Canis lupus familiaris: one gene and its partners. The protein of the gene in region 4 interacts with the protein of the main gene of each other region in a pairwise test. Links are inferred from orthologs where the notes say so. Each region holds a gene or a part of one and is shown on either strand. Other genes may lie near its edges. The genes, in order: KIFC3, LDOC1, CDCA7L, ZGPAT, CCDC57, CCDC33 and DHX15.

Evidence for each region.
Region 1: the proteins of ZGPAT (region 4) and KIFC3 interact in binary tests that used the Homo sapiens proteins (3 or more experiments, as listed by UniProt). The two-hybrid records come from large-scale screens. The link is inferred for Canis lupus familiaris from reciprocal best matches to the Homo sapiens genes ZGPAT and KIFC3.
Region 2: the proteins of ZGPAT (region 4) and LDOC1 interact in binary tests that used the Homo sapiens proteins (3 or more experiments, as listed by UniProt). The two-hybrid records come from large-scale screens. The link is inferred for Canis lupus familiaris from reciprocal best matches to the Homo sapiens genes ZGPAT and LDOC1.
Region 3: the proteins of ZGPAT (region 4) and CDCA7L interact in binary tests that used the Homo sapiens proteins (3 or more experiments, as listed by UniProt). The two-hybrid records come from large-scale screens. The link is inferred for Canis lupus familiaris from reciprocal best matches to the Homo sapiens genes ZGPAT and CDCA7L.
Region 5: the proteins of ZGPAT (region 4) and CCDC57 interact in binary tests that used the Homo sapiens proteins (3 or more experiments, as listed by UniProt). The two-hybrid records come from large-scale screens. The link is inferred for Canis lupus familiaris from reciprocal best matches to the Homo sapiens genes ZGPAT and CCDC57.
Region 6: the proteins of ZGPAT (region 4) and CCDC33 interact in a two-hybrid assay, tested with the Homo sapiens proteins (2 studies listed by BioGRID). The two-hybrid records come from large-scale screens. The link is inferred for Canis lupus familiaris from reciprocal best matches to the Homo sapiens genes ZGPAT and CCDC33.
Region 7: the proteins of ZGPAT (region 4) and DHX15 interact in binary tests that used the Homo sapiens proteins (3 or more experiments, as listed by UniProt). The two-hybrid records come from large-scale screens. The link is inferred for Canis lupus familiaris from reciprocal best matches to the Homo sapiens genes ZGPAT and DHX15.

Annotation. Positions count from the first base shown.
Region 1 is NC_049223.1:57,969,575-57,973,817, reverse strand, and holds the start of KIFC3 (kinesin-like protein KIFC3), read right to left. Parts: upstream 2,899-4,243; 5' UTR 2,884-2,898; coding exon 2,718-2,883; intron 2,669-2,717; exon of another isoform or gene 2,611-2,668; intron 2,034-2,610; exon of another isoform or gene 1,915-2,033; intron 1-1,914. UniProt on the Homo sapiens protein: Minus-end microtubule-dependent motor protein. Involved in apically targeted transport. Required for zonula adherens maintenance.
Region 2 is NC_049260.1:112,048,949-112,052,346, forward strand, and holds LDOC1 (protein LDOC1), read left to right. Parts: upstream 1-1,304; 5' UTR 1,305-1,451; coding exon 1,452-1,895; 3' UTR 1,896-2,719; downstream 2,720-3,398. UniProt on the Homo sapiens protein: May have an important role in the development and/or progression of some cancers.
Region 3 is NC_049235.1:35,878,623-35,882,907, reverse strand, and holds the start of CDCA7L (cell division cycle-associated 7-like protein), read left to right. Parts: upstream 1-1,230; 5' UTR 1,231-1,274; coding exon 1,275-1,322; intron 1,323-2,493; coding exon 2,494-2,634; intron 2,635-4,285. UniProt on the Homo sapiens protein: Plays a role in transcriptional regulation as a repressor that inhibits monoamine oxidase A (MAOA) activity and gene expression by binding to the promoter.
Region 4 is NC_049245.1:48,102,522-48,106,954, reverse strand, and holds the start of ZGPAT (zinc finger CCCH-type with G patch domain-containing protein), read right to left. Parts: upstream 3,074-4,433; 5' UTR 3,016-3,073; intron 2,822-3,015; 5' UTR 2,798-2,821; coding exon 2,205-2,797; intron 1-2,204. Other genes in the region: ARFRP1 (ADP-ribosylation factor-related protein 1), read left to right, coding at 3,573-3,665, 3,794-3,881, 4,035-4,117. UniProt on the Homo sapiens protein: Transcription repressor that specifically binds the 5'-GGAG[GA]A[GA]A-3' consensus sequence. Represses transcription by recruiting the chromatin multiprotein complex NuRD to target promoters.
Region 5 is NC_049230.1:968,687-972,482, forward strand, and holds part of CCDC57 (coiled-coil domain-containing protein 57), read left to right. Parts: intron 1-1,203; coding exon 1,204-1,305; intron 1,306-2,678; coding exon 2,679-2,836; intron 2,837-2,950; coding exon 2,951-3,025; intron 3,026-3,796. UniProt on the Homo sapiens protein: Pleiotropic regulator of centriole duplication, mitosis, and ciliogenesis. Critical interface between centrosome and microtubule-mediated cellular processes. Centriole duplication protein required for recruitment of CEP63, CEP152, and PLK4 to the centrosome.
Region 6 is NC_049251.1:37,851,996-37,855,791, reverse strand, and holds part of CCDC33 (coiled-coil domain-containing protein 33), read right to left. Parts: intron 2,198-3,796; coding exon 2,106-2,197; intron 1,075-2,105; coding exon 954-1,074; intron 1-953.
Region 7 is NC_049224.1:86,154,930-86,158,725, reverse strand, and holds part of DHX15 (pre-mRNA-splicing factor ATP-dependent RNA helicase DHX15), read right to left. Parts: intron 2,545-3,796; coding exon 2,109-2,544; intron 1-2,108.

The DNA of each region.
Region 1 (4,243 bases), on a different chromosome or scaffold from region 4:
TGCTCCCTTCTTCCCAAAAGCCACCCCGAGCTTCCCTTTGGGAAGGCACCGGAAGCTTCTGGGGTACATGTGTTCCCCACCCTCCACAGTGGCTTTTGGGCTGACACTTGCTCATGAACTCCCTCTCCAGAGAGTAGCAAAGGGAAGCCGATGCCAACCTGGCTGCACTAAACTTCACAGGAGGAGCACCCCAGGGCTGTGGCTTTATTACCAAGGCCGCCTCTAGGTGGCAATTTCTCCCCTGACTTCATAAAGACCAACGCCATGCTGGGTGGCCTGGTCCCAGCAGCCTCCAAAAGCATATTCAGCACCAGCTAAAGTGCATCCCCTCGAGCCTCTGACCCACTGCCTCCCTCACTGGACAGGGGAGAGAGGTGATCATGGTATGGACATCCCATGCACCCACTTCAACCCCCACCACAGCCTGCAGGGTAGCATGGGATGGGAATGAGTACAGCCTCATGGGGGTGTGACAGTATCCTGAGTGCCAGCAGCCGGCCAAGTGCTTACTGCCCTGCCTGTTCCTCAGTTTCCTTTATCAATAACATGGGGATAAGGAACCAAGCTCATAGTACTGTGCTGAGGGTTACATGGAATGACACACCTAAAATGCTCACTCTCCACCAGGCACACAGAAACTGGCCATAAGTGCAGGCCATTAGGACCACGACCGGGGAGGGTTAAAACCGTGCCCAGGGTCACACTGAGCCAGTCCTGCAATCCCATGGGCTAACTCACCCTCTGCCTATACCTCCCAAGACAGAGGCAAGAGTCGGGGTGGGGGCTGAGGGGCTAGGAGTGACAAGCTGGCTGAAGCCCTACTCACTGTTAGGCACTCTGCTTAGCATTTCACACGATTTCATTTGACCTTTGTCTTAAATTTTAAAAGCAGATAAGCCTGTATGGTCATATAATCTTCATGATACTCATTTAATAGACCAATATGCATGCCCACATATACAAGATCGGAAGGAACTACATAAGATGTTCACTAACAAGCTTATAGGTGATTTTTATTTTCTTTTTTATACTTTTCTGGGTTTTATTTTTTTATTTTTTCTAGTTTTCCAAGGGAACATATTTTGTCTTCTGCTTGTTTTTTTTTTCTTTGTCTTGTTTTTTTTGTTTAACCAGAAAAGTAATACTCATTCATATTACATATGTAATCCTTAGGACAACCATGTGGAGTAGAGACCGTCTTCATCCCCCTCCAGATGACTCAGGCTACCTGACCCAAAAGCCTATGCTTTTCCCAGAGGCCCCCAGTGCCATCCCCAGCCTCACTGTCCCCTGCAGAGACACTTTGGAGGGTATCACTCTGGTGCCCACCAGTGGCACAAATGTGGTGGGAGAGGAGACGGAACAGGAGTCTGCTGTGTACCCTTTCTAGGCCTCAGTTTCCCCTTCTGTGTACCAGGGGGGCTTGGATCTGATAGCCAGAGGAACTCTGCTAGCTCAGACAGGCTGGTAATCTAAACCTCTTTCTCTAGGTCAGGAACAACAGACAGCAAGCGTCTGATGACATCTGGACTGAAGACCCTCTCTCCCTCCACACTTCCAGATAGATTTGCCCAAGCTCACCTCAGGAGGCAGTCGTGGGGCAACTGCCCAGACCCAACGACAACCCAGCCCACAGGCAAATCAGAGGTGCCGCTCACTTATTGGCCTGTGAGGCACCAGGGGACGCGACCCAGAAAGGAGAGCTGGTGTTGACAGCATCCCAGGTGGGCTCCTTCACTGCCCCCACCTGCTGTGGGCCACCCTGCGGGAGCCGCCCCACATAGCACCTGAAACCCGGCTCAGGGCACCCACACTCTGCCGGCGCCGCGGCTCCTCCTCGCGCCCCCAGCGGTCTGACCCGCCGCGATCAGGTGTCCGCGCCGCACGGGGCACCGGGGCAGCCACTTCACCTACCTTGTTTACCAGCTGCGGGCACAAACCGGAGCGAGACTGCGAGCTGGGCGGGGGACCAAGGACGCGCCCCCGCCCGCCCCCCGCTCGGCGGCCGCGCCGGGGTCTAACTCGGCGCCCGGGACGTCTCTCCACCAGCAGGAGCGCGGGGCAGGAGCGCGGGGCAAGAGCGCGGGGCAGGACGCCAGGCAGGAGCGCGGGGCAGGAGCGCGGGGCAAGAGCGCGGGGCAGGACGCCGGGCAGGAGCGCGGGGCAGGAGCGCGGGGCAAGAGCGCGGGGCAGGACGCCGGGCAGGAGCGCGGGGCGGGACGCCGGGCAGGTCGCGGGGCAGGACTCGGGGCAGAAGCGCGGGGCAGGAGCGCGGGGCAGGACGCCGGGCAGGTCGCGGGGCAGGACGCCGGGCAGGTCGCGGGGCAGGACGCCGGGCAGGAGCGCGGGGCAGGACGCCGGGCAGGAGCGCGGGGCAGGAGCGCGGGGCAGGAGCACCGGGCAGGACGCGGGGCAGGAGCGCGGGGCAGGTCGCGGGGCAGGAGCACCGGGCAGGACGCGGGGCAGGTCGCGGGGCAGGAGCACCGGGCAGGACGCCGGGCAGGACGCCGGGCAGGACGCCGGGCAGGAGCGCCGGGCAGGAGCGCCGGCGAGATTGGCGCCCCGACTCCCACTCGGCCGGCCCGCGGGCTGCCGGCACCCTGTAATTACCTGACAGCCCTGACCGAGCCTAGGAACTTGCGAGAGAGCCCGGCCCCATCGCTGCTATCTGGAGGAAGGAAGGGAAATAAAGAGGCATTTTAAAAATGCGGACTCACCAGTTCTCAACCTCCCCGGGCCGGTGTATGGGAAAGGGCGGGCGGCCGGGCCGGCGGGGGCGGGGCGAGCCATCCCCGGCTCGGGCGCGCGGGCCCGGCCCACTCTCCACAGGCCGCGCAGCGAGGGCGTGGCTCCCAGGTTCCACGGCCGGCGAGACGGGACCATGGCCCGGGGCTCAGCGGCCTCCTCGGGGCGCCGGGCGGCCTGCGGACAGAACGGGGAGGCGAGGCTGAGCCGGCGACCGACGACACCTGGGTGGCAGCTCGGAGGGAGCCCGCCGCCTGCAACAGGGTCACTATACCCGCAGCGGCAGCCCCCCGCCCCCCCCCGCAGCGATCCTTGGCCTTGCGCGATCCAACACAGCCCCTCACCATTTCAGGGGGCTTTTTCCCAAGTAGGGAAGCTCAGAAGTGGGTGAAGAGACCACCCGGTGTGTCAGCTGCACCCTGCGGAGACCTCCCATCTCAGCCCCTCGGCTGGAAGCCTGGCAGCCTGAAGATGCGCCAGGTCACAGCCCCACACACAGGACGCACAGGTCGACAGCAACTCTAATCAGACGGGGCCTGACTGTGGCCAGTGACACAGTGGCTTATATAGATCAAATTCTCTTAAAGTCCACTCATTCTATTCAACTAGCCTTCACTCTGTGCCTACAACTTGGCAGGCAGTAAGATACAAAGATTCATTGCTTCTTCATTTAATAATTATTTATCCAGTGTCTATTTTGTGCCAGGCACCTGCCAGGGGTCCTCTTTGATCAGGAGAGATAGGGCCTCAAAGCTCCCTGTCAGGAGGGAGGTAAGCACTTCAACAAACCTTCACAATCAGAACAGGATGCAGGGAGGCACCAGGTGGTATGGGAGAATGAAGTTGGGGGTGGGGAGCACCGGCCTGGATAGAACACCCCTGCCTCGTGTGGTGGGTTAAGCCTCTGACTCTTGGTTGTGTCATGATCTCAGGGTCATGAGACCAAACCCCGCATGGGGCCCTATGCTCAGCACAGAGCCTGCTTGAGATTCTCTTTCCCTCTCCCTCTGCCCCTCTTGCTTGTGCTCTCTAAAATAATGAAACAAATATTTAAAAAAAGAAAGAAAGAAAGCAAGCTGCGTAGGTTTCTCATGAACTGAGCAGATGAAGAGAACAGACTTTAAGTATTCCTTACACACATCTTTATTGAACACCTATCATGTGTAAAGCAGCTGTGAGGGCATTTAAGTACCAAGCTACAGTCCCAGACTCAGACAGTGATGCTATTAACAGAAGCAGCCAAGTCAGCTCAGAGAGGCAATGTGGAATTTGCTTTTGGCTTTAAAATGGACTTTGAGGCACCCAAGAACTTCCTAATGGTGCTACCTGGGTTGCAGATTGCTTTCCACCAGACAGTAGAGATTACCTATTCGAACAGTGTCCAATCCCCCCGACTCTCTATGGCTCTCCATGGCAGGTGCGTGTGCGTGCACATTCATCTGTGCAGCCCTATACCAACCAGCCTGGAGCTGGAACAACACCCACACCAAACCCCTGG
Region 2 (3,398 bases), on a different chromosome or scaffold from region 4:
GAAACTGAGGATAGTCTTGAATTATATATAGACTATATTTTTTCCTATACGTACTTGATACAATTTAAATAAGTTAGGCACACTAAGACATTACTAGCTCATGTGATAAAATAGAATGTTTGTAACACATAACTATTATGCAAGTTTCAAAATATCTCTTAAAGTATCTTACTGTCCTGTACTCACCCTTCTTGTGATGACGTGAGATGATAGAATGCGTAGTGATCCGACGCCAGGCTACTGGTTGATCTTCTGGTGCCAGGTCAGAAGGAGGGTCAGCTGATTCCGGATCAAACCACCCTTGGCACGGGTGACTGAAAGCACCGGAGAGCAAAACCGTGGATCAGGAGGGACTCCTGTGTGTACTGCAGGAAGAGAAGAGTGAAAGCTAAGCAGTTGCAGCAGTCTGGGTGGGATAAGGAAGGCTGGATCAGGGTGGTATAGTGGGAGAAGTGACTGATCTGGGGATATATTTTAAAAGCAGAGCCAACAAAATTTCAGCTCTAGGGTCCTGGACTCAACGATTTAAATAATCCAGTTCAAAGTAGAAAGCCCAAAGCATTTAAAAACACAAGTGTTCATTGTTAAGCAACAAACAACATGCGACCGAGGGCCAAGGGGCATTAACAGGACATGAAACAGAGGGTCAAAGAGAGGCGAGAGCCTGCAAATCGTTCTCCAGTGGTGCTTTTGCAGAAGTTTTTATACTTGACTGTTTAGAAAAAAATACTTTTTAAAAAAGGATGTAGGTATACAATATTGTTTCCCAACTAAAGAAAAAAAAACCCCATTTAGATATTGTTTTGTTTTCAAAGAGGAGCCCCAAGGAAGGGTCTTTCGCAACTCCGAAAGGATGCGTGGCTCCCGCGGGGCAGGCCGCAGCGCCAGCAGTTCCCTGGGTGAGTGGGATTTCAATAAGCGAGGACGTGTGTCACCGAAACGCGCAGGTGGAATCTCGTAGCCACAGACCCACCAAGGAGCCCCGCACTGTGTGAGTCGGCTGAGTCCGAGCGTGACCGATCCTTTAAAGTTGAGCAGGTTGGCCCTCTCTGAGCTGGCTTTTGGCGGTCCCGGGGCGCACATCCGGGGCTCTAGCGCGGGAGCCTGCCCTTCCCGGGCGCCGGCCTCGGGAACTCCGGCCGCGGGCCCCCGGCTCCCGCCCGCCCCCTCCCTTGGACCGAGCCCCCGGCCCCGCCCCCGGCCCGCCGGCCCCGCCCCGGCCCCGCCCCCTCGCGGCGCCGGCAGCGCCCTGACCACGCCCCCCGACCCGGGCCGCGCCGGCGCGCCGGCCGCCCGAGTGGCTGTGCGGGCGGAGCTTGCGCAGCAGCCGGACCCCAGCGCGCACCGCCCTCCGCCCCTGGCCACCGTGCGCCTCGGCGGACACGCACTTCCTGCGAGGCCTCCGTGCGCACCTGAGCCGAGCCCAGCCCTGCGCTTGCAAGCCGTTCGCCATGGTGGACGAGCTGGTGCTGCTGCTGCACGCGCTCCTGATGCGGCACCGCGCCCTGAGCATCGAGAACAGCCAGCTCATGGAACAGCTGCGGCTGCTGGTGTGCGAGAGGGCCACCCTGCTGCGCCAGGTACGTCCGCCGAGCTGCCCGGTGCCCTTCCCCGAAACGTTTAGCGGCGAGAGCTCCCGGCTCCCCGAGTTTATCGTGCAGACGGCGTCTTACATGCTCGTCAACGAGAACCGATTCTGCAACGACGCCATGAAGGTGGCATTCCTAATCAGCCTGCTCACCGGGGAAGCCGAGGAGTGGGTGGTGCCCTACATTGAGATGGATAGCCCCATCCTAGGTGATTACCGGGCCTTCCTCGATGAGATGAAACAGTGTTTTGGCTGGGATGACGACGAAGAAGACGACGACGACGACGACGAGGAAGATGATTACTAGGCCGGGAGACCCTCGGGCCCAGGGGGGAGGGCCCTGCACGCCGCCATCCTCTCCCCCGCCTCTCCTGCCCGGCCCGGAGCCGCCCAGCGCCCTTCCGCCCTCCCATCCCCTTCCCTACCCCCAGCTCTCCGGTTCTCTCCGTCATCCCCCTGTAGTGCTTGCCTTTGTTCCGGTTACCTGCTGCTGGGGCCTCGCTCGGAAGCGCGCCGCCACCCACTCTGGCCAGCCCCGGGGCCCTCCCCTGCTGATTTGGACTGTGTCCTGAGCCCCAGCTATAGGGCAGGCCCCTGTTACAAACTGGTCAGACCACGCACAGCCCTGCCCTGCCGACTGCAAGGCCTCCATCTGCCCAGAGACCTACGCTGCCACTTCACCACCGTCCACCACATTCCAGCGACAGAACACAGCCTTTGAAAATAAGGACCAACCTAGAAGATGCCTGAGTTGGCTCTATGTCCTTGGACATTGATTTGGACAGCTCACCAGCCCCTGAAGGGGCCAGTCTTTCAACCTGGTTAGTTCCCTGCCTACTCCCAGGGTCCTCCCCTTCCCCACCAGATTGCTGCAGGGGCCTAGTGCGCCTGGCAGCCAAATTGTTGACATTTCTTTTCTCCTATGCACCAGTTTTGCACAGCTGTCCTTTTTCTTTCCAAACTGCAGCAGTCCCAACAGATGTGTGCATTTGGACAGAAATACTAAAAACAAAACAAACAAACAAAAACAGGCACTCAGCCCAGCTCCTCAATACCACCTGGAAAAAAGCATTTACGTTCTTTTCAATAAATATCAAGCACTACAAAAATAAAGAAAGGAGTGTCTTTTAATGGTTAAGTGCTATCATTGGCCTCTTCCAATCTCACTCTGACTCCCGTTATGCCCCCTGAGGTCAGGGAACTTAGTTCAGTCCCAGTATTCGCCACTGTCATCTCTAGGCTACAGAGGACAACTACCACAGGGTTTTCTAGGAATTCTGGTACTCTCCTCACCAAGGCATTTCTTAAAGCCCTGGCAAAAGGAGTGAGTGTCCTCTGGGGCCTCCAGGGTGGCATGGGTAAGGGGTGGCTGAGCAGGTGGCACACCATCCCAAACTGGGACACTTGAGAGTTAAAGGGGGACACTGTTAATAATTAGACTAGGACAACAGGCATAAATCTGGACACATACAATGTTATTATCTTCTTGAGCCTTTGGATTCCTTACTCAACACTGCCAGAGAAATTCTGTCCCTTAAGTCTTGTTGCCCGCGGGGCGCTGTTGAGTTCAGACTTCAGTTAACTACGTAGCATATTGTTTTAATGCCCCTTTCAGGTGCTTGAACTGACATTAAGCCCTGGATCCTGTGTGAGTGAACCCATACTAAATAGAGCGTGATCTTAACATTTCAGCACCCCGGGTGCACTGTCTTAGAATCCCCACCCATACATATGTCCCAGATTCCTGCCTATGGAAATTGGAGACTGACTGTCTCCTGAACTAGACCTTGTACTGCTATCTGGGCTATGC
Region 3 (4,285 bases), on a different chromosome or scaffold from region 4:
TCAACTATCACCCTACTTATTTCTTACTAAATACAAAGAGGAAAAGGTCTTTTTGCTAAGGAGAAATATGACACATCCTGCCGTAACTTGATCAGAGAGCATCACCACTGAAGACCAGAGATGGCCAGACATTAGGTGCTTTCTGAGTAAAGAATGCAGCACTACCTATGAAGTAGTCATCTTGCCAGAAAGAAGTGAACTTGAATCTGACAGCCTGTAACTCTAAATACCGAATCACAGGAAATCCCAGGAGATGTTGGAGTCTACTAAATACCATCTTGCAGCTGCAAAAAACAAACAAAAACCCCAACCTTCCAGACTCTCGCAAACCTCACAGTGAAAGGACCCAGTTTTTTAAAAAAATAAGTTGCCAAAGGAAAAAAAAAAAAAGGATCCATAAGAAAAGACTTTTCTGTTGATCAATGTATGGACCTTATTCAAATCATGATACAAATAAACCGTGAGTTTAAAAAAAAAAAAATAGGTTGACGGAACTGTGAAGACAGACTATGTATTTCCTGATGACACAGGGTGAAATGCTATTATCTTCAGTTGCTTCAGAATAATTTGGAAGGAGGGCAGTTGGATAGGGATACAGCTGGAGCAAGACTAGCCATGGGCGCAGGACTGCTTGATAGCTGGTCCCTGTGTGTGTTCACTATGCTGTTCTACCTACTTGGGATTATGTTTGAAAAATTTCATAATTACGTTAAAAAACACTACTAGGGGATAACTTGTTATTTTGTGCCTCCTTATGCATTGCATTGAGAAGTGCATGTCATCTGTATAGAATTGTTGCCAAAAATATTTCAGTAAAGTATATCAGTGACCAATGAGATAAACTCAGAACGTATGACATTCAACAAGGCAGTAGTCTTGGGTTATTTAAGTAATATCAGTGTTACGAAAAGCAGCAAAAAACAGTGTCATAAAAAAAATAAAATGCATGATCTTTGCTTGAATGGGTCCCTTTAGCCCCCTTAAAGTTAAAAAAGACATTTTGGGACAGTTGTAGACATTTAAATATGAGCTTGTATTGAATGATACTATTGAATTAATGTGAATTATTTTAGGTATGATTGTAGTTTTACGGATCTAAGGGGAATGGGGAATGTTTTTATTTTCAGGCGATGTGTGCTGAAGTATTTGAGGGTGAATTAGTATGATGTCTGCAATTTAAATATAGGTGGAATAAGCTGGCTCGTACTAAATAAATGGCTATTTCTTTAGGTCAAAAACTGTGAAATACTAGCAAATGCTGATGGTTCCACTTAATGTTTGTTGACAGAGAAAGCAAAGGTGGTGACACATGGGGACTCCAGGTAAAGAATATGTAGATGGTTGTCCTATTCCTTCAGCTTTCCATGTTTTTTTTTTTTTTTTAAGATTTTTTATTTGTTCATAGAGACACAGAGAGAGAGAGAGAGAGAGAGAGAGAGAGGCAGAGACACAGGCAGAGGGAGAAGCAGGCACCATGCAGAGAGCCTAACGTGGGACTTGATCCAGGGTCTCTAGGATCATGCCCTAGGCTGCAGGCGGCACTAAACTGCTGCGCCACCAGGGCTGCCCGCTTTCTATGGTTTTGAACTTGTTCAAAATAGAGAGTTGGGAACAAATAGGTAGTCAGCATATGAAAATGAATTCTGAACTAATACATACATACTTGTTAGATTAAGAGCGCTGATAACATTCCTTCTTGGAATACTTGCCTACAGTAGTGTTTACATTCTCTTGAAATTAATTTTGAAACTACTTGATTGAGAGGAAAAAAAGGAGCAACAAAGCTACTTATTTCAATGTATGAGTTTTCATGTCTGAATCAGCAGATGACAAAGAGCAAAAAAATCAAAGACCAATAGGTGGAAATGAGGAAAAGAGGAGCTTATTAGTATCATCTTATTTTGACATGGATGACATTTAAAGATTTTCTTTTTTTTAATTTTTATTTATTTATGATAGAGAGAGAGAGGCAGAGACACAGGCAGAGGGAGAAGCAGGCTCCATGCACCGGGAGCCCAACGTGGGATTCGATCCCGGGTCTCCAGGATCGTGCCCTGGGCCAAAGGCAGGCGCCAAACCGCTGCGCCACCCAGGGATCCCGACATGGATGACATTTAAAGACAGATCCACTGCAGGAGAAAAATAGTTGTTTTCTCACAAATGATGACTGTTCCTTTATTTTTTGTGTAGAGATCACATAGGGTTTCCATCTAGATATGGCCTTGACATTCTCTGTAAGATAGGATATATCTCTAGAGTTTGAAAAACAGTCTAATCTTTCCCTCCCCTACCTTCTTTTGTTGCCATGAGGGATCAGCTGAAGCACATTTTGCTCCGGGGTAACTGGGGTCTTCTTGGTGACCATGGCAGATCTGCGACCTAGTAGATTGATAGAGCTAGTAGATGCTAATCCCTCCTCCTTTCTAGAAAATTTCCCTAAGTGATTATAACAGCCCTCGGTCTTATCCTTCTTCTTTTTTGAATCCAAAACAGATCCCTAAAGAAGTGGCTGACATCTTTAACGCCCCCAGTGATGATGAAGAGTTTGTCGGTTTCCGAGATGATGTTCCCATGGAAACCCTCTCATCAGAGGAGAGCTGTGATAGTTTTGACTCACTGGAATCAGGGAAACAGGTACAGATGCTTCCTTTCATGGAAGGCACGGTCTTCTGGAAGCCTGGATCTTGGTTCAGATATTCTTTTATTTGAATATGGTCTGAGATTGGTGATAGCAGTTAATTGTCGAGCATTTTATTTTATAAGTGTTTTGCTTCATGTTTTAAGAACCAATGAGGCTACCTAGATCACTTTTACTGTTTAAGCCCTTTCTATAATAGTTTTTTTTTTTTTTTTTTAATAAAGAGGGCCTCACATGATCAGATCTATTTCCTTTGTAACCTCAGGGCTTGCAGCCTGTGTCCAGGCTGTATTCAGAGTGCTCCCATGTGGCTGGGAGGGGAGAGGTGGTCCTGCACAGCCACCGTCCACACCGCAGTGCCGTGCAGGAACGTGTGGTTACCACGAGACAGTCGTGTCCCTGTGCTCCTATAGCGGGTTTCCATTGACACCCTACTCTTGGAATTGCCGGGGAGAGCCTTATTCTTTCTTGGATTACTTTGATCTCTGGCAAACACAAATTACGTTTCTCTGAGAGTTAGTTTCCTGGAGGTTTATATTATGCCTTAGCAGTGGTATGGCCAGTCGAAATAGCTAGCTTTCTGTAGCATTTTCTTCTGCATTCATTGTGGCTCTCAAAATTCTTCATTCTCCCTGGACCGTAGCCTCTCTCAAGAGGCTGTAAATTAAACCCACCTTGCTTCAACTGGGCAAGTGTAGGAGGTTCTAGAAGCACTTTATGATACAGTGTAAGTGCCTGCTTGATCACTTGGCTGCCTGTGTGTTCCAGCCTCCTCCTGCAGCTCCCCTGATGCTCATGGCCCTTACCTTAGTTACAGCACTAAGGTCTGGCCGTGAGCTTTGCCTTACTCAGAAACCATTTGAGCATGGTCAGGCAGTGAGGGAGAGTAGAGCCCGTGGACCCGCCGTGAGGGGCATTCTGAGCAGCGCAGCATGTGTGTGAAGAGCTGAGCCTGGAGCCCAGCAGTGCAGTGGGCATCCAGAAACAAAACAGCTTCCATATCTTGGCTGTTGTAAACAATGCTGGAATAAACGTAAGTGTCAAATTAGTGTTCTGGTTTTCTTTGCGTAAATACTCGCTAGTGAAATTACTGGATCGTAAGGTAGTTCTATTTTTAATTTTTTGAGGATCCTCCCTACTACTGTTTTCCACAGTGGCTGTACCAGTGTGCGTTTACACCAGTGGTATGTGAGGCTTCCTTTCTCTCCACATCCTCACCAACACTTGTTTGTTGTCTTTTATTTTAGCCATTCTGACAGGTGTGAGGGGATACCTCATTGTGGTTTTGATGGGCGTTTTCCTGATGATTAGATAGGGAAGCAGCCTAAGTGTCCATCAATAGAAGAATGGATAAGGAAGATGCTAAATATGTGTTCAGTGGAATATTAATGCAGCCATGAAAAGGATGAGGTTTTTGCCATTTGCCGCAACATGGAAGGACCTAGAGGGTGTTAAGCTAAGTGAAGTAAGTCTGAGAAAGACAAATACCATATGATCTCACTCACGTGGAATCTAAAAAATAAAATAGATAAAAAGCCGAATCAGACCTATAAATACAGAGAATAGACTGATGGTTGCTAGCAGGGAGGAGTTGGAGAGATGGGTGAGGTGTGGGGAGACGGGTGAAGTGTGTGAAGGTGAGTGGGA
Region 4 (4,433 bases):
TTGAGTGTGACCATAATAAAAGTCCAGAATAGCGGTCGTTTTGGAGGAGGGAGCAGGCTGCATTTGGTTTGAGGTGCACGGAGGGGCTTGGGGGTGGTTGGCAGATTTGCAGTTGTGAGCTGAGTGGTGACTGCTCGGGGTTACAGGAATCCCCACACTGTGTACTTACTTCCCACGCCTGATTTTACTTTACAACAACGTAAAAGTTCACATTGACTGTGAGCTTACAACCTGTGAGGTACTACTCTAAATTCTCTGCACGTGGTAACGCATTCCATTGTCCCAACAACTATGAAAGACAACTCTCGTTTGTTTTACAGATAAAGAAATTGAAATACAGACCTTAAGCTATAAAAAATGAACGAAAAAATACTGTATCTCACTAGGAACCAAGGAAACACAAATTCAACCATGATCCCATTTTCCCAGCGCTCAGCAGGCAGGAATCGGCAGTGATAGAGAGGATGAGGGACGAGGCACCGGCCTTCATACGGAAGCGGGAACTCTGCACACTCTCGACACACCGGTCCCATACTAGGGAAATTCTCAGGCAGGTACAGAAGAAGACGCTACTAAGATGTTCACAGCAAGCTGTTTGTAACAGACAAAAACTGGAAAACATCAGAAAGGAACATAATAAAATGTGGCACATTTGTGAGAGAAAAGAACATAGCAGTTAAAACCAATTAAACAGCTCTGGAGATACCAGCACAGATGCCCTCTCACATCCCTGCTTAGTGAAAAAAGCAAGTTGCAAAATAAACCATCCTGTGTGACACCATTTGTTTCAAAAGTAGCACAAAAAGTTACTCTTCTCATATAGGCTCCTGTCTGCGGAGAGCTAACATCTGCTAGAGGTAAACACAAGGGAGTTGTGATCACAGCCTGGGAGGAGAAGGGGCTGTGACACAGCTATTTTTAAAAATACAAAGCAGGGGCGCCTGGGTAGCTCAGTGGGTTACTGAGCTAAGAGCGTCTGCTCAGGTCCTGCTCAGGTCCTGATCTCAGGGTCGGCTCCGAGCTGAGCAGGGAGTTTGCTTGACATTCTCTCCCTCTCTCCTTCTGGCTCTCCCTACACGGAGGGTGCATACTCCCTCCCTCTCTCTCTCACAAATAAATCTTTAAAAAATAAATAAAATAAAAATGCAAAGCAATGCAAGAAAAGCGTTGATCTGTCTGGCAGTGGCAAGTGGCTGTCGTAGGCTGTGCCAGTCGGGCCTATAGCTAACACAACAGAGCAAGGCACAGCAGTTGGGGGCCGAGGCAAAGCTAGCCTGTGCCCGCTGCAGGCTCGCTCGTGCCGCCGTCTGTGCCAGGCAACCTTAGCCGTGGTGGGGCCCACCCCTGGGGCTTGCTGCACGGAGGGGTCAACACACGTGAAACTCCTGGCCCGGAGCCTGGCCTAGAGGAACAGCACACGGACACGTCAGCTCTCATCGTCACAAGGGGCATCACCCGGGCCCGTGGAGGCACCCAGAGGGTAACGGCAGAGAGGACGAGAGGGCTTGCTGGTCTGTTCTCTGACCTGTTTGTTCAGCAGCACATGGATGGGTCTGCTTTGTGAAAACTCCAGTACGTTTCATGATTTACGCACCTTCCCGTACGGGTGCCACACTGTAATCAGACTTACAAGGAAAGAAAGGATTGTGGAAAATCGTGTTAAAGGACGCTCTGGACCCAGCAACGGTCCGTAAGCAAAGACAAAGACCAAAGGACTAGAGAGAGTTTCCCTGGGTTATTGACTCAAAAAGAAAATCATCTGCAAGACTTGGTAAACATTCCTTCCACAGATGGAAGCGATAAGGAGCAAAAGCCGAGTCGGGCATTTTAAGGAAAGAGTGACACCGTTGCCACAGTCGTGTGAATCTCATCATGAACAAGATCCAACTTACGGATTTGTCAGGGATGCGACCCTTGAGCATCGATTGATGAAAGAAAAAAAAAAAAAAGAAACCAGTGACTTCTACGGTTTCCTTTACACGGTGCAGGCAAACAAGAGGAAGACAAAGGAGAGAGCAAACACGAGCCTGGCAAGGAAGGGCTGATCAGCGGCGAAGGGGGCAGCGGGCGGCCCCACGCCGGGCCCTGCGGGGCTGCGACACTGCATTTTGCAAGCTTCCCCCGAAAGAACCAGAGCAGCGAAGGGTGGGGCACCGTGCCTCCCAGGACGGCGCGGCCTACCTGCGCCCCTGCCCCGGACTCACCTGCAGCTGTCCTGGAAGCGGCACTTGCCCTCCAGGAAGAAGGGGCAGGGCTTCAGGGACTTGTGCGTGGGGTAGAGGTAGAGCACCCGCACGCCCGCAGAGCCGTCGCGCGCCGCCTCGGTGCCCACGATCATGGCGTTGTGGTACTCCAGCGTGCCCCAGGAGCTGTAGTACGGCGCGTTCACCTTGCGGCCGCTCAGCGCCTCCTCCTCGTCGCCGTCCTCGTCGCCGGCCCGCTCCTCCTCCCCCTGCCCGGGCCCGCTGGGTGCCGGCTCGGGCTGGCGCTCGCGCTCGGGAGCCGTGTCCGGCGCGGCCCCGGGGGCTGCGGGCGCTGCGGGCCCCGCCTGCTGGGAGCCCCGGCTGTCGGCGTCGCCCGGGGCCGCGCGCTCCCCGTCCAGCGCGGCCAGCAGCTTGCTCTTCCGGACGGACACCAGGCTGGCCTCGGTGAGCTCGATGAGCTCCTGGAGGTCGCCGCGCAGCTGCCGCAGGTCGGCCAGCTCCGAGGGCTCCAGGCCGGCGCCCAGCGCCAGCTCCACCTGCTGCAGCTGCGCGTCATAGGTGTGCAGCGCGGCCTGCAGGCTCTCCTCGTCCATCCTGCGGCCCGGCGGGCGGCGCGGCTGCAACGACGGGGAGCCGCTGAGCGCCGCGCCGCCCCCCGCCCCGCCCCGCCCCCGCCGCGGCCCGGCCCGCTCCGCCCGCCCCGTCGCCTCGGGCCCCGGCCCCGTCGCCCCAGACCGCGCCCCCTCGCCCGGGCCGGGCCCCGCCTCCGCGCGGGCTCCGGGCCGCCGCCATAGAGCCCCGCCGGCCTCACCGGCTAGAGCGGCCGGCGCCCCCGCCTCCGCCCTCGCAGCCCACCGGCACTTCCTCCCGGGCGCCGCCGCCGCCGGAAGTGCCTCGCGCGGGGGACGCCGGGACGCGGCGCGCGGGGAGCGTCGGGACGGCCCCTCCCCCCCGCGGCCTGCGTCCCGTCGGGCGCCGCGCGAGGTCAGCGCGGGGTCGGCGCGGGTCGGCGAGGTCAGGCGCGGGCGGCTCCGCGGCCCCGACGGGCGCCAGGTAGCGCGGGCCGGTCGCCCCGGGGCGGGGGGGGCGGGGCGGGGCCTCGGGGGCCGCACCCGCCGTCGGGCCGCGACGCCCGCCGGCCGCCGCCTCGCAGCCCGGCTTCGGGGGGGGGGGTTCGGACGCCGCCAGGGGCTCCCGCTGCGCGGCCGCCGGGCACCTGCTGGGGCGGGGGCGTCGTCAGCCCGGGGAGCCTGACGTCACGGCGGGCCTTCGGGGGCGGGGGCGCGGGGGGAGGGGGAGGGGAGGGGGGGGAGGGGAGCGCCCCGGCTCCCAGCCCGCCGCGACCGCCGCCTCCGCTGCGCAGGCAGGATGTACACGCTGCTGTCCGGCCTCTACAAGTACATGTTCCAGAAGGACGAGTACTGCGTCCTGATCCTGGGGCTGGACAATGCGGGCAAGACGGTGGGTGCCCGCCCCCGGCCCTCCCCCTCCGGGCGGCCCCGCCCGCCCCCACGCGCCCCCCGCCCGCCCGGGACGGACACCGGACACCGGGGAAGCCGCCCTCACCTCCCGCGCGCGTCTCTTCGCAGACGTTCCTGGAACAGTCGAAAACCCGCTTTAACAAGAACTACAAGGGAATGAGTCTCTCCAAGATCACGACCACCGTGGGTCTCAACAGTAAGGCCCCCCCCCCCCCCCCCGGGGCGGAGGGCTTGGGGGGCCGCCCGGGCCGCCTCGGGGAGCCCAGAGCCGCCCGTCCCTGGCCTGGCCGGGAGGCGGCGCGTGGCAGCGGGTCCCCAGCCTGTGCTGTCCTCTGTCCTCTCCCCGCAGTCGGCACTGTGGACGTGGGAAAGGCTCGCCTCATGTTTTGGGACCTGGGGGGCCAGGAAGAGCTGCAGTCGCTGTGGGACAAGGTAAGCCGGCCGTGCCCAGGCCGCCCCTCGCACCGCTTCCTCCAGGGACACCCCCGGCCCAGCCTCCCCTCAGCTCCGTCCCCCACTGTGTCCCTGAGGCTCCCCCCAGCCCTGTCCCAGCTCCCCCGTTGCCCCCACCCTCGAGAGCGAGGACCTGCCAGTTCCCTTTTAACTCAGAGATTTGCTTCCGATGAGTACAGGCCGAGACGAGAGGTGTCCAGGAAGCAGGTGCGGGCAGGCAGGAGGCCTGTGGGTGCTGGGCTTCAGCGCCGGGGCCTCCTCCCGGGTTCTCCCTCAGGACCTGTGCTCTGCGGCA
Region 5 (3,796 bases), on a different chromosome or scaffold from region 4:
CGGCCTGCAAGGCCCGAGCAAGGAGCCGAAGTGTTTCAGAGGCACTTGGAAAACCTAGAGAGTGGAGAACGGACACGGCGGCGCCGCTGCTCAGCGGTGTGGGCGCAGGGCCCTCGCGTCCGCACACACAGGTGGAGGGGCCTGCCCATCTGGGCTCAGCGGGGTCTCCCGGAAGTTACTGGAGCACGCTCTAGCCTGGCCAGGGCCAGGGGCTCGGCTTTAGCCACCTCCATTCCCTTCTGAGTTCAGGATGGGGGAGCCAGGAGATGGGAGCTGGACTGGCTGCCGGGAGAATGGGGGCCCAAGCTGAGCAGGCGTCCCGACGTCCCCAAGATCGGTGGCCCCAGCACAGGGCCGAGCTGGTGGCCTCACATCCCAGAGTGCTCCGCAGGAGCCAGCGGGTCCAGGCCAGCCAGAGCTTCCAACCCCAGGGGGAGGCCGTGGGGGGTGTGGCAGGCAGCAGAGGCTCTCCCCAGAGGAGGGGGCGCGGGAGCCCCGGGACACGCGGGGAGTGTGAGGAGCAGCCGGGGAGACAGTTGAGCAGTAGCCCCGGAGAAGCCAGGCCGGAGTGTGGAGGCTGAGGCCTCCGGGAGCCATGGCCCAGGACAGGGGTCCCACTGCCCAGGTGGACGCCGTGGAGGAGCTTGGGGGACCGAGGTGGAGGGGCTGGGGGTGAGCCGCTCCAGGAGAAACAGCAGGCTGTTGGTTGGTGAGCTTTTATCGTCACAATAACCTATGGAATTTCTGGAGTCAGCCTGGGGGGTGAAGCTCAGAAGACTGCCTGCTTGCAGAGCCGGGGCCCAGAGCCGTGGGATGGGGCTGGCCTCCAGGGCCCGTCCCCGCAAGGACACAGGCAGGGCGCCGTGGCATGTGCATGGCGTGGGGAGACCCAGCCCAAACTGTTGAAAGCTGTTGCGGTGCTGCCCCCTCACCGCGGCCTCCGTCCCAAGCCCCCAGTAGTGCACAGGCCCCGTGGGCGCCCGCAGGACCCAGTGGCACCACCGGCAAGGACACAGATCGCGTCTGTGGGGGCACCCGGACGCCGCGAGAGCCCCCCAGGTTTACGTAGACAGCATAGACCACGTCCCCAGGGTGAGTGTGGCGCCTCCACCACCAAGGACCTGTGTGCCCCGCTGGCCTCCGGCCCGCCCGCCCGGCGGTGGCAGCGTCCGCCTCCTCTCACCGAGAGCCCTCTTGTTTCAGGAGCTGCAGCTGGAATTCGAGTCTGAAATGCAGAAGAGGGAGCACGGGTTCCGCCTGCAGGCTGACGGCATGAGCAACGCGGTGCTGACTCAGGAGCTCAAGGTGGGTGGGGGCTACTCCCTTCCCTGCGGACATGTCCTGGGGGGAGGGCCGGGTTCACGCAGAGGCCTCCCTTGTGGCACCAGGGTCAGGGGTGACATGCCTGAGGAGCGCCTGCCACCGTGACCACTACGTGGCTCCTCGCACGAGTGACGGAGGAGGGCTGGTGTCCCCGCTGTGCTTGACCCAGCCTTGGGGAAGGGCCCCCACCCGGGATAACCTCCACCCAGCCCTGGCCAAGGCCTGTGTCCTCTGTGAGCACTTGGAACGGCCTCTGGGGAGGTGCTGCTCGACCGCCATTTCCAGCAGAAGAGGCCAGGCCAGGTGGTCAGGGCCATGTGCGGCTGTGCGCCAGCCACGGTGCTCGCCACCCCTCATGGCTTCTCTAGTGCACTAGCCCCATGCTGCCAGGGCACATGCGAAGGGCGCTCATGCCTGACCTTTAGCCTGGAGATGGGTGGCGAGGGTGGGGGTGGCCTTGAGGGAGCCCGAGGTTGAGCAGGGGAGGAGGAAGCAGGGGCGGACACCTGGCCGGGGCCCTGCTGCCCCAGTGGCTTGCACCTGCACGGGCGTCCAGCAGATGTCAGTAGGGAGTGCCGCGCTCACAGTCGGGGTGGGGGGCCCTCCCGCAGGCCGCCAGCCTTCCTGCAGCGCCACAGTCCAAGGGCAGCACACGGCCAGCCCGAGGCCCCAAGATCCCGGGCCATTGTCGTGGTCAGCGTGCTGGGTGGGCAGCTCGCAGCCCAACCTCACCTCTGCAGGGCACCGCTTGTCGTGGAGCGCCAGCCTGTGTCCTGCCAGGCCCCCGCCTGGCCCCTCTGCACAGGCACCCCTGACCACACTCCCCCTGCCAGCCAGGGGCCAGGCCCAGGCTGCCCCACGGCGACCCTCAGGAGGCCACTCGAGGACTTCTGAGAGCCGAGGGGAGAGGGCAGCTGGGTCGTGCAGGGCCGTGCCCTGAGCTCACAGCCGGGTGGGCACTGCTGTGAGGGTGGGGCTGGGGACACGCAGGGCATGGGCGCTGGTCCACCCCCTTCTGCGTGCCAGGCGGCTACAAACCCCCAAGAGCCTTCTCCCTGGAGGGCTCCACGCAGACGTCAGGGCCGCAGTTCACATTCGAGGAGACTGAGGCCGTGGTCTTACACGCCCCACCTGCTTGTGCGATTCCAGTACCTGAGCAGTAGTCACAGAGCAGCCGGGACCGTGTGTTGCCGCGATAGGCTCATGCACGCGGCCCCGTCGTGGGTGCAGCCGGGGAGCCGTGGTGGTCAGGTGGGGACTTGAGGACGCCCTCACGGTGTGCTGCTCTCGAGTTGTTTTCTTCTCTCCGTTCAGCCCCAGTGCTGTCCTCATTTTGAGTTCTTTATCTCTGGAAGGTGAAACTGCTGAACAAGGAGCTCGGGGCCCTGAAGGAAGCTGCCGCCCAGGCCGCAGAGTCGCTGCGGGGTGCTGAGGCCGCCAATGCGGGGCTGGAGGAGCAGCTGCAGCACAGCCACCAGGAGCTCAGGGACCTGGCCGCCTCCAAGGACGCCCGGTGCGCAGCCACACTGCCGCCTCGGGGCTGGGGGCTTCCGCCTGGCCCGGCTTGCTCCAGGCCGGCTGGCTGTGGGCCCGTCTGCTTTTTCTGCTAATGTTTCCTCCTTTTCAGGATAAAGGACTTGGAGGGCAAACTTAACTCTGTGCAGCTCTCCAGGAAGAAGGAAGAAGAGGTCTTCAGGAGGAAGTGAGTGTTCCCGGCTCGTGGCCTCGCGGCCCCGGGGTGAGGTCCAGGCAGAGATGCCCCCCGACCTGCGGCCATCCGGCCTTTCAACTCACGGCTTTGGGTCTCCTTCCATGATCTGTTCAGGATTCTCAGTGGTAGTGAGGCTTTTTAGTGTGTTAAAACTTTTTCAAAAAATACATATACATTCTTAAGGTTTTAAGTCACCTGTACACCCAGTGTGGGGCTTGAACTCACAACCCCAAGATCAAGAGTCATGTGCTCCACCGACTAAGCCAGCCAGGTACCCCAGTGTCTTAAAGCTTTTGAGCTTAAAAGTCTGGTTAACCAGGGGCTCCTGGGTGACTCAGTTGGTGAAGTGTCTGACTCTTGATTTCCACTCAGGTCATGATCTTGGGGTCATGGGGTTGACCCCGTATCTGGCTGGCCCTGGAAAAGCAATGTTCCTCTTCATGTCCTCTTCTAGAGCCTTCTTTTTTTTTAGTTTATTTAAGTGATGTTTCCGTCCTGTGGGGCTCAAACTCACAACCCCGAAGTCAAGAGCCACACACTCCCCTGACAGCCATCCAGGTGCCCTAAAAGTGTTTTTATTTGTAAACTGAAATCGTTGAAAATGAATATGATTTTTTAGCATATTATAAATATTGGCATTAAGAAGTAAAACTGTCAGGGGCACCTGGCTGGCTCAGTCAGTAGAACACATGACTCTTGGTCTTGGGGTTATGAGTTCAAGCCCCACACTGAGTGTAGAGATTACCTAAATTTTTTTAAGAA
Region 6 (3,796 bases), on a different chromosome or scaffold from region 4:
CCATGCCAGACATGAAGAGTGGTGGGCAGACAACAGGAAGGACTTCCCAGGCACCCCTGTCTTCTTTAAGGCTTCTAGGAATGTGGGGACCATCATGTGGGGCAAACTCCAGCTGAAGTAGAGACTATGGGAAGAGACGGACCCGGCCACTCCCTGGTACCCAGCCGCAGTCTGCACACCCCTCCGCCACGTATTCAGACACACCACTCACTCTCCCCTCCGGCCCTGAACATGCATCTGTCTTGTCCTGTGCACCCCAGCTCCACTCCCGTGCTCTTGTTCCCTATCGCCCTGCACAATCCCTCCCCTATTAAACACTCAAGAGTCTTGTGTCTGGATACCCGCTCCAATCAGCCAGGCTTCACGTCCCTCTTGCCTCGAATTAAAATTTATTTTTTGTTGTGGCAAAATGCAGACAACATAAACTGTCCCGTTTTAGCCGTCTTTAGGTGCACAATTCAGTGGCATTAAGTAAATTCACAATATTGTCTAACCATCACCACTATCAATTTCTAGAACGTTCTCACCAGCCCAAACAGGAAACTCTGTACCTATGAAACAATAACAGCCCCCCCCCCCCCAGTCCCTGGCGAGCACCCTTCTACCTCCTGTCTCTGCGAATGTGCGTACTCTAGGGACCTCCTATCAGCGGCTTCAGACATCATTTGTCCTTCTCTCCTCTGCCTTTTACAGGCCTGACAGTCCCTCCTGGTTTGTTACTAGGTCACCCACTACCTGTGTGGGCGTGTGACCCTTTCATGTGCGTGAGGCCTTCTTCTTCCCTGGACCAAGGGCGCCCTGAGGGCAGCTCCTCCACAGCACAGGAGGCTTGGCTCTGGGGACACAGTAAACCCCTTAGGGGTCAGGGGAATAGCCCAGCGAGGGAGCCAATGAATAGACACGTGGGTGGGACACTGGAGGTGCACGGGGAGGGGGGGAAGGGGGGACCGTACCTGAGGGCACCCGTTCTGGCTGCCCCGAGGAACGTCGAAGCGCATCATGGATGGGTTAGGGAAGGAGAGGCGGGTGATGGGCAGCCCCACGGAAGCTTCGTCCTGCTTTATCTGGTTGACCCTGGGGAGGCAAGGAGACGGTCAGCCCACAAGTGCCGCGGGTGGCTCAGGCCTGCAGGAGGGCGCAGGGCTCTGGACACCAGGACAGGTGATGGACCCTGGTCCTCTGATCACCGGCCCAAGGCGTGACTCGCTGTGGCCTGGCCACATCTGACTGCCCCAGAGGCCCCATCTTTAAAAAGCCCTGCCATTGGAAGTCCTTGCCGGAATGACCCACCCTGGTGGTGGCAGTTCTAGTTTAGGTCAAGGGGGACCTGGAGGCTGCAGGGGCAGGGTCCAGGGTGTGTGTGTGAGCAAGTAAGCGAGCGAGCGAGCAAGCGTGTGGCCATGTGCCTAGCTCTTAAGAGGGCTGGGAGGGAGTGTATCAGCTTCATTCCTTCAATAAGCAAGGAGTGTTCACAGGTCAACAGATGGTGTGGCGCAGTCCTGTTGGGCCAGAAGAGTCAGAGGAAGTGACAGAGGCAGACAGCTGATCCCCAGGAAATGGAGCTGTCACACAGGGCCCATGTGCACCGGGGGACTCCCCACGCTGTGTGACCCTCAGGGGCCACGCTAGCCCAAATACCCTTCCTGAGGACGGCAAATCCACCAAACCCCCAAAGGTGGTCTGGGGAGGAGGGGCACGAGTTTGGCTGGGGCCAGGAGACCTCAGGAGGGTGAGGGAGAGGACTCACAGGTGGGGCTAAAGGTCATGAAGTTCTGAGCGGACCCACAGGCTGCCTTCTTTGGGAAAAACCATTGGCTGGAGCCTTGGTCCTGCGCTGGAGTAGGAGGGGGGACTGTGGGACGGGAAGCAGGTGTGGAGGGCTGAGGACCTCCTGCAGGGAGTTCTGAGCCGCCCCTTCCCAGGCAGGGACTGTGGGCAACTTCCTGAACCTCAGACCCCAGTGGGAGGTTTGAAAGGCCTTGGGGAGGGGAGGGTTCTAGGGCTCCTGGAATCAGGGCCTGTGGTGGCAGCGACAGCCCTTCCCCTCCTCTGTCCTCTGCCGGGCCCGCCCTCTCCTTGCCCACACCCGCCTGGGCCCCACTCACTTAAAATCATTGTAGTTGGGAACCACCCTGGCAATGACCACCATGGGGTCACGGTTGTTGACCAGGGGCTCATTGACTCCCCGGAGAAAGACCTGGGGAAGAGAGGAGGCAGGTGAGCCTTGGGTGGCTTTGAGCCCTCTCGGGGACAAGGCCAACCCGCCTGCCACCTTTCTCCCCAGTAATGAGCTCATCCCTGCCTCCATCTGCCTCACTTACTTCCTTCTCTGCTCAAAGCTGCCCTCCTTCAGGCCCTGACTAGGCCTTGGGAAGGCAGGGGTAGGACACGGATTCTGTCCCCCATATGCCTCCACTGCCCTCCCGAGCGACTCCTGATCTGGCTCCTGGCCCTCACCCCTTATCCACCAAATGGGCTCCCACTCACCCCTCAGCGCTCACCCCAACCCCTCAACTGTGAGTCCTGTGGCTCCTCTTACTTCTGACCCCATCACTGGCCTCTGCTTCTATTTTGCCCCCCAACCCATCCCCTTTCCCCAGCAATTTAATACATGATGGCAAAAACTGCTTTCGTGAAAAATGAATTAGACCGTGTCATCCCCCAGCTTGAGACCAGCAGTGACTCCTCCCACTGCCCTTGGAATGAATTCCACAATTGTTACCATCAGGGCCAAGGCCTGCATGTGTTGGCCTGTCTGCCCTCGGCCCCCAAGTCCTCCCTTGCTCCAGCCTCACACGTCTCACCCCTCCAACCTGCTCACTTGCTTCTGCCTCAGGGTCTTTGCACATGATGATCCCACTGCCTAGACTCCCCACCCCCACCCCCGCCCCAGCAACTCAGTGGCTGGCTCTCTCTTCCCTTAGGGTTAACCGTCACCACCTCTGGGAAGCCTTCTGTGACCACTCCTGCCAAACTAGCCCACCCCCTTCTCTTAGCCCCCGACCACCTCTTCCTCGGCACTCCTCATAGCCTGTGTTCACTCTAACTTCTCTCTTTTCGTGTTCTGTCCATCTGGCTGGAACCAAGTCTCCAGAGGGGCAGAGACCATGTCTACCTCAGTCACTGCTATGTCCCCAGCTGTTAGCAGACACACCTGGCACAGAGTCAGAGCTCCGTGTGTGTTTCCGGGATAAATGAGCTCCATTTATGAAGGAGAAAAGTAGGGGACCGGGCAGGGAGAGGCTGTGTTTGAGTGTGAGAGAGACAGAAGCGCTGACAGCTGGGAGGGGAGGAGGAGAAGCCAGGCCTCAGGGAGGGGCTGGGCTTGAGCTGCTCTTGGGGGATGGGTGAGGGTCCTGATTACGGGGTGCTCTTGGGAAGGCAAGCAGCGAAGGAAGGGGCTGCGAACACAGCTGAGGGGCCACTCAGGAAAAGCTGGGCCACTATGTTACCGAGGCTGGTCCCCGCTCCACTCTGGGCCTGAGGATCCCAGCTCAGACCCTGAGGGGTGGGACGTTACTGTGCTGGTCCTCCTCGCTCTGACCTTCATGGGGAAGAGGGCACCTGGGACTAGGGGCTTGCTCTGGCTCCTCTCTCCTCCTCCCTGCGCACTCCCTTCTAGGCCCCTCTGCCAGGACCATCTTAGCTGGTAGCTCACAACTCCCCACACGTGTGAACTGATCAGGCCTTAAAAGAGGGCTTAGGAAAAGGCACCTGGGTGGCTCAGTGGTTGAGCGTCTTCCTTCGGCTCAGGGCGTGATCCCGGGGTCCTGGAATCGAATCCCACATCGGGCTT
Region 7 (3,796 bases), on a different chromosome or scaffold from region 4:
TTTCTAATATTACCTATAATACATTTGACAATCCTAACTACGTTCCCATCCCTAACCTAACGGTCCTTTCCACTTGAGTATCCCAAATTCAAGAAGTTCAAAACCATTTTGCACCTTCCTCCAAATACTTATTAATCCCTCCCACGTCCCCTAAGATTAGTAACTCCACAATCTACTGTTTATTCTATTACCTTATACAGAGTCAAATTTTGCTATGATCTCCTACAAAGTCTGTCGTCCATATACAGAGCATACAGAGCTTTCTCTTCACCAAACCTGTGCCCCCGTTCACACTCAACTGGCTTTAGTTTCTTATATATGGATATAGCATGAACATACCATATTGCAATGTGGGATCAAGTCCCACATCGGGCTCCCTGCATGGAGCCTGCTTCTCCCTCTGCCTGTGTTTTTGCCTCTCTCATGAGTAAACAAATAAAATCTTTAATAAATAAATAAAATAAAGCTGTTCAGCTTCCCTTTGAACCCAACTGCTCTGCAATCCTAGGTACACAAAAACAAACAAAAAATACCACAAATATTCATCCAAATAATTACAAACCTCTCATTTTGAATTGACTTGACCATCTGCATTAACTGCTACTAAAGAAACTCATCTCTGAAATAAGGTTAACCACATAAGACCACAGAATAGCAGAATGAAATAAATATAGCATTGGCTATAAACAATAGCCAATGGGACAAAGTTCTTAATACTGAGCCCACCTAAATCTACTATGCATAACCACGGACAACCCACTAAAACCTCTAAGACTCTTATGAATCTAAGGCTCATTTTGTTCATCTGTGAAATGGTGATTAACAACTTCCTTGTAAGGTTGTTGACACAAATAATACATACAAGGGACACAGTGCCTAGCTTTATCCAATAGCTAATTAAATACTATGTAGATAAACTAGTTGAAATAATTCTTTTAAATACTAAATAATTCTTTAAAATAAGTTTAAAGTCGTATCTTTTCACACATTAAACTTCCATAAGGTGATAAAAATAAACCTATCAGTTTCAGTTCCTAACATCAATACTAGATTTTCGTTCAGTTATGAAGAAAAATCGTATTCAGTAAGGCTCAGTCTTTCAAAACTTCTTATTCTGGTTGCCACTGTAGCCTTCAAAATGTCTCCATGATATACTCCAATCTAGGTTTGTGGCATATGAAACTTAAATGGTAACTTGCGTATGCAGTACATTCCATTATAAACTTGGGTCACAGGTACATAAACATGGAAAATAAGCCAGGAAGAAACACAGTACAGTCATAATTTCTACATGGTAAGACAAGTTATTAAATTCATTTCGACACTTTCCAGATTTTCCAAATTTTCTACAATGGCCAAGGACTGCTACTTTTGCAATCTCTTAGAAATTTGTGACTGGTCAGGCTCAAACATATGGGAAATATGGTTAACACCTCACTCATAGCAGGAAATGCAAATTAAAAATTATGCTGATACTACTTTTCACATATCAGATTCGTAAATATTCTAATTCCACAGTATAGTCTAATGGATCTACTTGCTCATGAAAAACAACCATCAGAAGCAGCCTAGAGATCGATAACATGGGACCAGTAAACAATGGCTCATCCATTTTTGGAAAATATCCTAGATATATTACTAACAAGATAGTGTTTACTTCTAGGCCAAGTGTAACTAGATGGATGTGGAGGTCATGAATAAAGAGACTTTACTCAGCTCTTCCATCTTTTTAAAAAAAAGGATAATTTTCACATGGTTCAAAACAAACAAGAACAAAAACAAAACTATCCCAGTGGTTCCAAATTTCTACTCAGAGCAATAGAATACTTGTACCTCCAAATTTGTACCACCCCAGAGTCAAAGTGATCAGAATGCATCATTCTGCCATATTTAACATTAACAAAACAGCACTGCTATATTCCCCTAGACTCAGGAAAATAGGCACTCCCTACAGGATTCCCACTCTGTGCACTACAAACATCAAAGTAGCTAGTCTTCAGGATGTTCTAGGAGACAGACAAGGCAGAAGGACTTCCAATCAAATAAGCAACATTTAGTAAATGTAAACATTAATACGGTATGTACTGTGGTACACAATAATAACTCACCTGTGTTGTTTTACCAGACCCAGTCTCACCAACCAGTACAAAGGACTGATGCCTAACCAGAATATCTGTAAACCTATCCTTGTATTCCCAAACAGGGAGCTGAAGCCGTTTCTTTAGAATATCATAGTATCGAGGAGTATGGGGTAAGTTGGTAAATGGATTAATGCACTGTGGAAGTGATGTGTGTCCTGCATGTCCTGTGTGTGTTGAATGAGCAGAATGTGTCGAATGTGTTGAATGTGCAGAATGAGTTGAGTGAGCTGAATGGGAAGCTTTTAAAGGTGGTAATCCAGCACTGATAAGCATAGCATTAGTCGAAGCTCGCAATTCCTTCTCCTTTTCTTTCTCCCTTTCCCGCTCTCTATCTCCTCTATCACGTTCTCGGTCTCGATCTTTAGACCGATCTTCACGATCCCGGTCACGATCTCGATCCTTCCTAAAAATAAAAATTTAGAATTCAGATTCTGAATTTTACGCAAAATGTTCTTGGCAGTGTTATAGTCACAAAGAACAAGAATGTCTAACCACCAAATGAATAAACCAATGAATTATGTAAGTATCAGACATAATGAAAAAGACCTTATAATCAAGAATTCTCCATGCCTCACCCATAAATCTTTTTCTTTCCTTGATGAGACCTCAAATTCTCTTAAGGGACCATCTCTTTCTACACCTTTAGCCACCAGCTGTTGTTACACAAGACTCGGACTTGACTGAGTAAAGTAAAACCCCTTCCTACTTATTTAGACAGTAGAAATTAAAGACTGAGAGTAAGGTGGGGGAAAAGGAGGAGAAAATAAAGCAAGAGGGGGATATGGGCATCACAATTTTCCCCAGATTCTCCCTCAAGTTACATGAAAAGTTATTTTTTGCACTGAAAGTATGTTCAAAATTCAAAACTGCTTCTGGACACAAGGACCATTCTACTTCACATAACAGTAATACAAACATGAGTTAAAGGATTGTAGGTGAGTTCATTTTCAAGTTATGCCTTAAATCAGTTTCCCAATTTTGTTTTATAAGCATGTATTTGTCCTATTAAAAAAAAAAAACTAAAATTAAAACACTTCCTTTTGTTTTCATTGTTTCCTCTTGCATGATATCCTTAATAGTAACTGCAAAACTCTGTAAACCTATGTATACTTTGGACATCTATCAAGTGAAATATAACCACTAAAAAAACAAGCTCCACTGAACAATAGTAAGTTGTCTTAAAATGCTAAAATTATGCAGACGGTCACTATACTAAGCCTAGGTCAACTTTAAGTACTCAGTTCTAGTATCTACTTCCAGTTAGCAGGCATGATTCCTAATACAATAATAATTTTTAAATAAGCTTCAGACCAATTCCTATAGCAAACTTCTACAAGGTATTTGGACCCAGACTTGAAATAGTTGAGGCAATATAGAGCTATGAGACAAGCCACTGAACACCTCAATATTCCTTATCCATAAGACACAAAAGGCATACAAACTTCCCATGCACCAATTATCAGTAGCTGAGTAGGAAAAACCATTCATTCCCTATAAAAGCACATCAGCAGGACAACAGAAACCCCTTGACAGAATACAGCTAAAATTCTAGAGACAGCAGGAGTTAGGATGGCTCCCCAAATACAGAAATGTTAAGCAGATCAATCTTATTTTCTTTTGTCCTCGCTAAAATATAACTGTATTCCACAGGAATT